Cricetulus griseus: one gene and its partner. The protein of the gene in region 1 purifies or fractionates together with the protein of each later gene. This does not show direct contact. Links are inferred from orthologs where the notes say so. Each region holds a gene or a part of one and is shown in the gene's direction. Other genes may lie near its edges. The genes, in order: Kcnj4 and Dlg4.

What was found.
Region 2: the proteins of Kcnj4 (region 1) and Dlg4 purify together in Homo sapiens (affinity purification with western blotting, with the first as the bait; 3 studies listed by BioGRID). This does not show direct contact. The link is inferred for Cricetulus griseus from reciprocal best matches to the Homo sapiens genes KCNJ4 and DLG4.

Annotation. Positions count from the first base shown.
Region 1 is NC_048595.1:376,673,791-376,677,669, reverse strand, and holds the start of Kcnj4 (inward rectifier potassium channel 4), read left to right. Parts: upstream 1-854; 5' UTR 855-1,478; intron 1,479-3,879. UniProt on the Homo sapiens protein: Inward rectifier potassium channels are characterized by a greater tendency to allow potassium to flow into the cell rather than out of it.
Region 2 is NC_048600.1:83,885,862-83,889,671, forward strand, and holds part of Dlg4 (disks large homolog 4), read left to right. Parts: intron 1-1,027; coding exon 1,028-1,323; intron 1,324-1,471; coding exon 1,472-1,574; intron 1,575-1,733; coding exon 1,734-1,848; intron 1,849-3,206; coding exon 3,207-3,383; intron 3,384-3,631; coding exon 3,632-3,668; intron 3,669-3,764; coding exon 3,765-3,792; intron 3,793-3,810. UniProt on the Homo sapiens protein: Postsynaptic scaffolding protein that plays a critical role in synaptogenesis and synaptic plasticity by providing a platform for the postsynaptic clustering of crucial synaptic proteins.

The DNA of each region.
Region 1 (3,879 bases):
GCACACATATGGTGCACACACACACACACGCAGGCACCTGTACTCAGGTGGTACACACACACACACACACACACACACACACGCAGCCATCTGCACAGGCGTGGTGCGCATATACTCACAAGGGCATCTGCACACACATAATGCACACACAGGCACCTGCACACACGTGGCACACACACACACACACACACACACACACACACACACACACACACGAGCACACAAACACACATAAATAGAAACTAAAAGACAACTTAATAAAGTGAAGAAGAAAACAGGGACTAGGGTTAGTTTCACTTCCATCTCACTGGGTGACCTTTTGTGAACTTATGGACCTCTGTGGATCCTCAGTCTCCCTCTCCTATGTGAACTGGAGCCTTACTGACTAGGGTCCCTCCAAAACAGCGACCTCTATCTCCCCAAGTGGGAGTGCTTAGGATCCTTAATTGCTAGCGCTTCGGGAGGGAATACAGACCGTCCAGGAGAGGGTCAGGGCCACCTGGACCTCAGCTAGACCGATTCTCACCTACCCTCTCCTGGGTACGGAGAACCCTCCCCACCTGCCCACGGGGGGCCTCGCAAACCCGGGAGCGGATTCTCGGAACGGATTCCGGGAGGAGCGCGGCAGAGCGAGGAGGAAAACCCGGGCAGGATCCGGGAGAGAATGGGACGGCGCAACCCCCAAGACCCCTGCCCCAGTCGCCGGTCCCGGACGCGAGTGACCTGCCTGCGTGGGCTGGGCGCACCGGGAGGGCCAGGGCGGGGTGCGCCTGGGGCTGGAAGCCGGGGCGCGCGGCCTCCGCAGCGGGGCGCGGGTCACGTGTGAGGAGGGGCGAAAGTCTCCGAAGCGGGGCGCGTGCTGCGAGTTGGGAGTTCTCGGCGCGCCGCGGGCGGCGGGAGCTCGGGCTCCCGGGCGAGCCGGGGACGCGGCGGGGACCGGGTCCCAGACGGAGGGGGCGGCGGCGGGAGTGGGAGGGACGGAGACGGAGAAGGATACAGCCGGCCGAGGAAGCGGCGCGGGGCAGGAGCCGGAACGCAGAGACGAGGTCCACAACCCCGCGGGAGGAGAGGCGGGACCGAGACGCAGCGGCGGGGATCGTGCAGCAGGCACGAGGTGGCCACAAAGCCCGGCGACCCCAGAGCCGAACAGCGAGAGGGTCGCGGGGCTGTGGGTGACAGAGGGCGGCGGGACGCCCTGGGCCCCGGGACCCCACAACCTGAGCCCGGGCTCCACAATGCTACCACCCAGGCAGCGCCCAGCTCTTGGCGCCGGGCAACGCTGAAAGTTGCGCAGGAAGCAGCGCGGGACGGCGCGGAGACCCCGAGACCCACGGCGGCCTCACGGGCTAACGGCGACATCGTGGGCACCCAGCGCCCGCGCCCCGACCCCGGCGCCCCCGGACGCCGCCCGCCGGACTCCGTCGTGGGATGTAGTGGCCACCCGCCGCCCAGAACCGCCTCGGATCTTACGCCCCGGGGTAAGCTCGGGCTCGCCCACCGCGAGCGCTGTCAGTCCGTGAGTGAGTACGTCCCCATGCTTATCTAGCCGAGGGGGTGTCTGTTTGTCCTGCCATATGCATCCTGCACTCATCTCTCTGACCCGGGTCCAGAAAGGTCCCTGTGTGGTCCTGTGACTTCCCTGAGCTGCTCTGTCCATTTGTCGCTTATGGGTTTCGGCTGGCAAAAAGAAAGGAGATGGATGGAAGAGATCTTGACCTCCTGCCCTGGCAATGGCCCTTCTCTGCCCTCGCCCACCTCCATGCCAGGAGCTGCAAGGCAGGTGACTTGCAGCAAGATGGGAAGGGGGTGTCTCTACTTCCCACCTCCCACCTGCAATCTCTGTGATAGTTCTGAGTATGACAAAAATCCCCCTTCTGCTGTGTTGAGTACCTGCCTTGTGCCAAATAAAGCTAGGGTAGGTGAGAGGGGTGCATAAATGAGACATTTCAGGGTAGTTAGTGGTGGAAACTGAGGCTGCAGAGAGAGGGAAAATGCACCCCCTCTTCTGCAAGGGGAGAACACAGCAAAGAGTGATGCCTTGAGCTCCAAGCAGAGAGAGCTCCATCCCCCCACACCTGCAGAATGTCCCTTAACCAGGGTCAGCCTATTGCCACACACAACTATGTAAGGGACCCAGACTTCAAGACAGGGATAGGTAAACCCTGAGAGGCAAGCAACAGGGGCCTCCAGGCATCAGGAAGCAAGGTGGTTGGGCTTCACAGAGACAGTGCCTCAAGAGCAGGAGAGCACCAAGAAGTAGGTTGAAGGAGCTGGGAAGAAGAGGGAGTGTCTGGCCTTGGACAGAGAGGGGCTGGACCCAGAGATGCAATATACACTCCACTCCCACCCTCCATCCAGTCCTGCACCTTCCAGGACTTCTAGGGACCCAAGAGCCCTGAATAGGCTTGACTTGGCTTCTGAGAAGAGGAGCAAATGGGGAAGCAGGACACTTGGGGCAAGTGATTGCGTGCAACATGGTAGGGGCACAGCTGCTTGGCATGAGGCTGGAGACCGGAGGGCGGACCCAGAGCATTCAGCTCTATTCTCCCTTTGGAGGAAGGGTCTCTTCCTGGAGTTTTCCATACTGGGCATCATGCCTCCTATATCACTTGATCCAGGCTTTAGAAATGAACCCCAGCTAGCTGAGAAACTAGCATACTGGGTAAGCTATGCTACCCGAGCCTCTGCCAACACATATGTGGAATGGGGACACCAGATCTGCCCCACTGACCTCCAATGGAGGGCCCTGAGATCCGTGAGCAGAGTACTGGTGGGCTGGAGGAAGGGCTGGGCAGACGGGAGTAAGGACTCAATTTACTTTGACAGAAAATAAGTAGTTACCGAGTGGCAAGAATATGGCTGGACATACAGACTGACAATAATGGAAATGTCTAGGCATTAAATGGGGGACTTGGGACTTGGGAACTGTACCCAATGATCCCCTGTGTCATCCTTGAAGAAACAATTCCCTGGTGCGGGGGCTACATAGAGGTGACTGGCCAGACAGACGTGTCCGTGGTCTTCTGCTGGGGTGACCTTGGGCAGCTGACTTTTCTTCTCTGATCTCAGTTTGTACAAGTGGAAAATGGGAGTGTAGCACTAACTCCATTGAGATGTCAGTGGCTTGCACATAGTGTCAGGGCCCCTGAGAAGAGCTTGCAAAGAAAGCCAAGGCTTGCAGGCTCTCAAGAGACATTTGTGGATTGGAGGACAAAGTCACTCTAGGATGCTGTGGGAAGATTCTGGTCTTAGGATGAGAGGGAGGGGGAGGAGGAACTGTGTGGGCTACACAGGGCGGGCAGGTTCTTAATGTAGATCTGGGGGAGGCGGGGGCGAGTGCTAAGGGGGTTGTGAGGAGGAGGGGGCCCCTCTGCAGGGACCACTGAGTCACGAGGACATGTAAGCGACATGACAACCAGCAACATGGTAACCAGGAAACTAGCGGTGGGAATGGAGCTGGAGCAGTGTGTAGGGGTGGGGGAGGGTGGACTGGCAGCACCCAGGCTTGGAGGGTCCCTGGTGGGTTAGGCTGACTAGCCGGCAGGGGATGCAGGCTAGGGCAGGCTAGGGAAGAAAGGACGTGTAAGCAGAGGCAGAGGAGGCACCCGGGGGTCTGCTGGGCAGGGGGGCTTCTCTGGTACCTCCCCAGGCTCCTCTTCTCCTCCACATCTCCACTTTTCATGCCTCTCCCCCTAGGATGCCAAATTTGGCTCACGCAATCTGTCGTCTCTCTTCTGAGATTGGCACGGGGACGAAAGCCGAGTGCATTACATCAGCGCCCGATCCCCCTGCACTGAGGGAGGGAGGGGTAGGACCAAGGACTGGGCCAGGCTAGGAGTGGAAGGGCAGCAGCCAGACTTCAACTTTCTTGCTTGTCTC
Region 2 (3,810 bases), on another chromosome or scaffold:
TCCGTCCCCTCTTCTATATAAACCTTACCCCAGAGTAAGCACCAGGGTTGCCATGCAGCAGTTCGTGTGTGTGTGTGTGTGTGTGTGTGTGTGTGTGTGTGTGTGCATGTTTTCTGTTTGTTACCATTTTGAGATAGGGTCTCATTATTTAGCCCAAGCTGACTTCAAAGTCATCATGTTACCCATGCTGGCCTTCAGTTTGCAGCAGTCCTCCTGAGTGGGATAGTGGGCTCAAACACGACACCCATCATCAGGTAGGGCAGTCCTTTATAAGAATCTTACTTATGATTGTAGAATGTTAACATTTTGCAATTCCTGCAAATAGCAGGATTAGACACCTGCCAGAACTTAGGGCAGGCTGACAGAGTACATTGTACTGAGCCGATGGGGCCGATGACCCCACATAGGTCCGACTGGCCTGGAACTCACTGAACTTCCACCGCTTCTCCCCAGGGCTGGGGTTCAAATGTGCTGGGCGTGGCCCCACAACATTGCTTCCTGTGGTCATGTAGTGGGAAGCACAGGATCATGTAGTGGGAATACCCCCTGGGGGAATATTTTCACAATGAATTTGAGTCTGCTCAAGCCTCTAGGACAAGCCTAGGAAAACAGAAAGGGAGCCGAGACAGGACTGAGACCACAGGGATATAAGCAGGACTATCCCTCATAGAATGTGGGAAAATAGACAGTTAAAAAAAAAGTAAATGAATAGCCACGAGGGAGAGAAATTTTATGGATTAAGAGACCTGAGAGACACTTTAACCAAAAGGCAGTCTGAAAAGCATAGTACTAATATTTCCCTTTGGTCTCACCATTGCTGGCATACTAAAGACATATGACCTTCAGATTATTACCTTTGATGTCATCTGTAAATTCCTGACCCCTGATGCTGTTGGTCACCAACATGCCTTTCTGGCAGAATAACTGCTCCTTGGTGGAGCCTGGCTCTAGGCTTCCCTGGAGAGACTGGGTGGGTGGGTACTATTGTCCTAGCATTTCTACCTCACCCATTTCTGTCTTCCCTCAGCATATTCTCAGCACCTGGATAATGAGATCAGTCATAGCAGCTACTTGGGCACCGACTACCCCACAGCCATGACCCCCACCTCCCCTCGGCGCTACTCCCCGGTGGCCAAGGACCTGCTTGGGGAGGAAGACATTCCCCGGGAACCAAGGCGAATTGTGATCCACCGGGGCTCCACAGGCTTGGGCTTCAACATCGTGGGTGGCGAGGACGGTGAAGGCATCTTCATCTCCTTCATCCTTGCTGGGGGCCCTGCTGACCTCAGTGGGGAGCTGCGGAAGGGGGATCAGATCCTATCGGTGAGAGAGGCCTGTGCAAGGGTCAGCACTTCCCCCTAAACAGAGCTCTCTGCTCTTGGGGAGGGGCTGGCTGGGATCCAGCCTGGTCCTGCTAGTCCATTCCCTGACCCCCTGAGACTTAGGTGACAGCCTCTTCTCCCCTTTCTAGGTCAATGGTGTTGACCTCCGCAATGCCAGCCATGAACAGGCCGCCATTGCCCTGAAGAACGCGGGTCAGACGGTCACGATCATTGCTCAGTATAAACCAGAAGGTACCAGGTCTAAGCTTCCCTGCCTAACTGGCTAAAATGGGCCTCAGAACTGTCACTTTAGCTGATGGATGGCCTCAGCAGGGATGGAGTGAGGGTAGGGGTGTGTGTGTGTGGCATTAGGGTGGGGCAGAATTCCAGAACCTTCTTGTCCTCCCTCAGAGTATAGCCGATTCGAGGCCAAGATCCATGATCTTCGGGAACAGCTTATGAATAGTAGCCTGGGCTCAGGGACTGCATCCCTACGGAGCAACCCCAAGAGGGGCTTCTATATCAGGTGAGAAGCTCCCTGGGCATGATGCTTGAGGCCTCCGTGTGTTCTTTTCCCCCTGAACGCGTCCAGTCCCCACCCAGCTCCTTCCCTAAATCCTGCCTGCCTTTTACTCTCCCATCCAGACCTGATGCTCAGGAGTTCATAGACTTGGCTGCATAGGCTAATCTAGAATATATTATCTAGCTTGAAAAACAGCCCCTGCCCCAAGTGTCTTAATTGCTTTCTAGCCCTGGTCACCCAAGCGCTTCCCCAAGCGCTCTCACAGTAGGACCTAAGTTCAGTGTCTGACACAGTAGGCATCTCTAGCACCTTCCCTCTCCCTCCTTCCTTCCCTCCCCTCCCTCTTCCCTCCCCTTCCCTCCCCGTTCTGCTTCTCTCCCCCCTCCTTCCTCCTCCTCTCCCCCGTTCTTGCCTAGGGTGAGTTTGAACTCCCGTGCTTTAATAATCTTCCTGCCTTAGACTCCAGGCACTTGTCACCATGCCCAGCTTTGGGATATTTTGAGTCTTTCAGTTTGGCAACCCTGTGGGAAGCCTCAGTGGAAAGGACTGCAGCTCTTTGTGTGTGCCTCCTGTATGTCTGTCTGTCTTTCTTTTCCTTCCTTCCTTCCATTTTTCCCCCTGTGCTGGGGACTGGATCCAGACAGAGCCTCATGCATGTTAGGCTCGCACTGAAACCACTGCTGAAAACACACCTCAGCTTCCCCCGCTGCCTGCCCAGCAGCATTTGTCCCCATCTCAGGGATCCTCTGCCTGGCCCCTCACAAGGCATTGGGACTTCCTTCCCCTCCTTACCTCTTCCTGCCTTGGTCCTTCAGCCTCTTTCTTTTTCCAGTTGGCTGGCCTTAGCTGCCTGTGCTATACACAGGTGTCTCTTAAAGCTGTCTGGCCTGGCTTGATACCGGCTTAGAGGCCTAGACCAATTCCGGCTGTTGTTTTTGGGCCATCTCCATTGGGCTGTCCCATGGGCATGTCACAGTCAACACAACCTAGCCTGAGCTTGCTGTGTTTCTCCTGGATGCTTGTGTTCCTTCTCGGAGGCCCACGTCCATGCTCTCCCCCGCTGTTGGAGCCTAGTAGGTCCCTAAGGGTTAGAATTCTTACTGCCAGCTGGTACTATATGACCCTGGGGGCTTGTTTCTTCTCCTCAGTCACATTGTTTTTCTCTGCATCTTTGCTCTTTCAGAAACTCGGCAGAGCTTTTAGTCCTTAGACGGTTCGGGGTTTCTTTGTGTGTGCTGCCAGCAGTCCATGCTTTGTATGGCAAGTTTCCTTGCCCAGAATCTGGCTGGTTCTCAAGGTGGCTGGTGCACCCTTCCTGGAGTTCTCAGCCAGTCCCTGACCCATAGTCCCTTGTGCTATAGGGCCCTGTTTGATTACGACAAGACCAAGGACTGCGGTTTCTTGAGCCAGGCCCTGAGCTTCCGCTTTGGGGATGTGCTTCACGTAATTGACGCTAGTGATGAAGAGTGGTGGCAAGCACGGCGGGTCCACTCTGACAGTGAGACCGATGACATTGGCTTCATTCCCAGCAAACGACGGTGAGGCTCCTGGGGCCCTGCAGCCTTCCTGATAGAGGCATTGAAGTTTATTAGGTCCCCCAGGCTGGGTGTGTGCTAGACCCTGCTGGGGACCATGGCTCCCATCAGCCCCTGGGAAAGAACTTCTCACTGAGGTACATAGGGCCCAGGGGCAGCTAGGAAGATATTATTCCCACCTGGTCCAGAGGGTGGGATGTCATTGAGCATTTCCCTACTATTTCCTGCTCTTCCTCCATGTAATCCCACAGGGTTGAGCGACGAGAGTGGTCAAGGTTAAAGGCCAAGGTAGGTGGAGGGTGGATGATGAGCTTGGTGGTGAAGTGGTGGGGGTGGTTTCTGAGCTAAATTCTGAACCTACCATAAGATTGGTTTTTCTTCTAGGACTGGGGCTCCAGCTCTGGATCACAGGGTAGGTAGGGAAACTGGA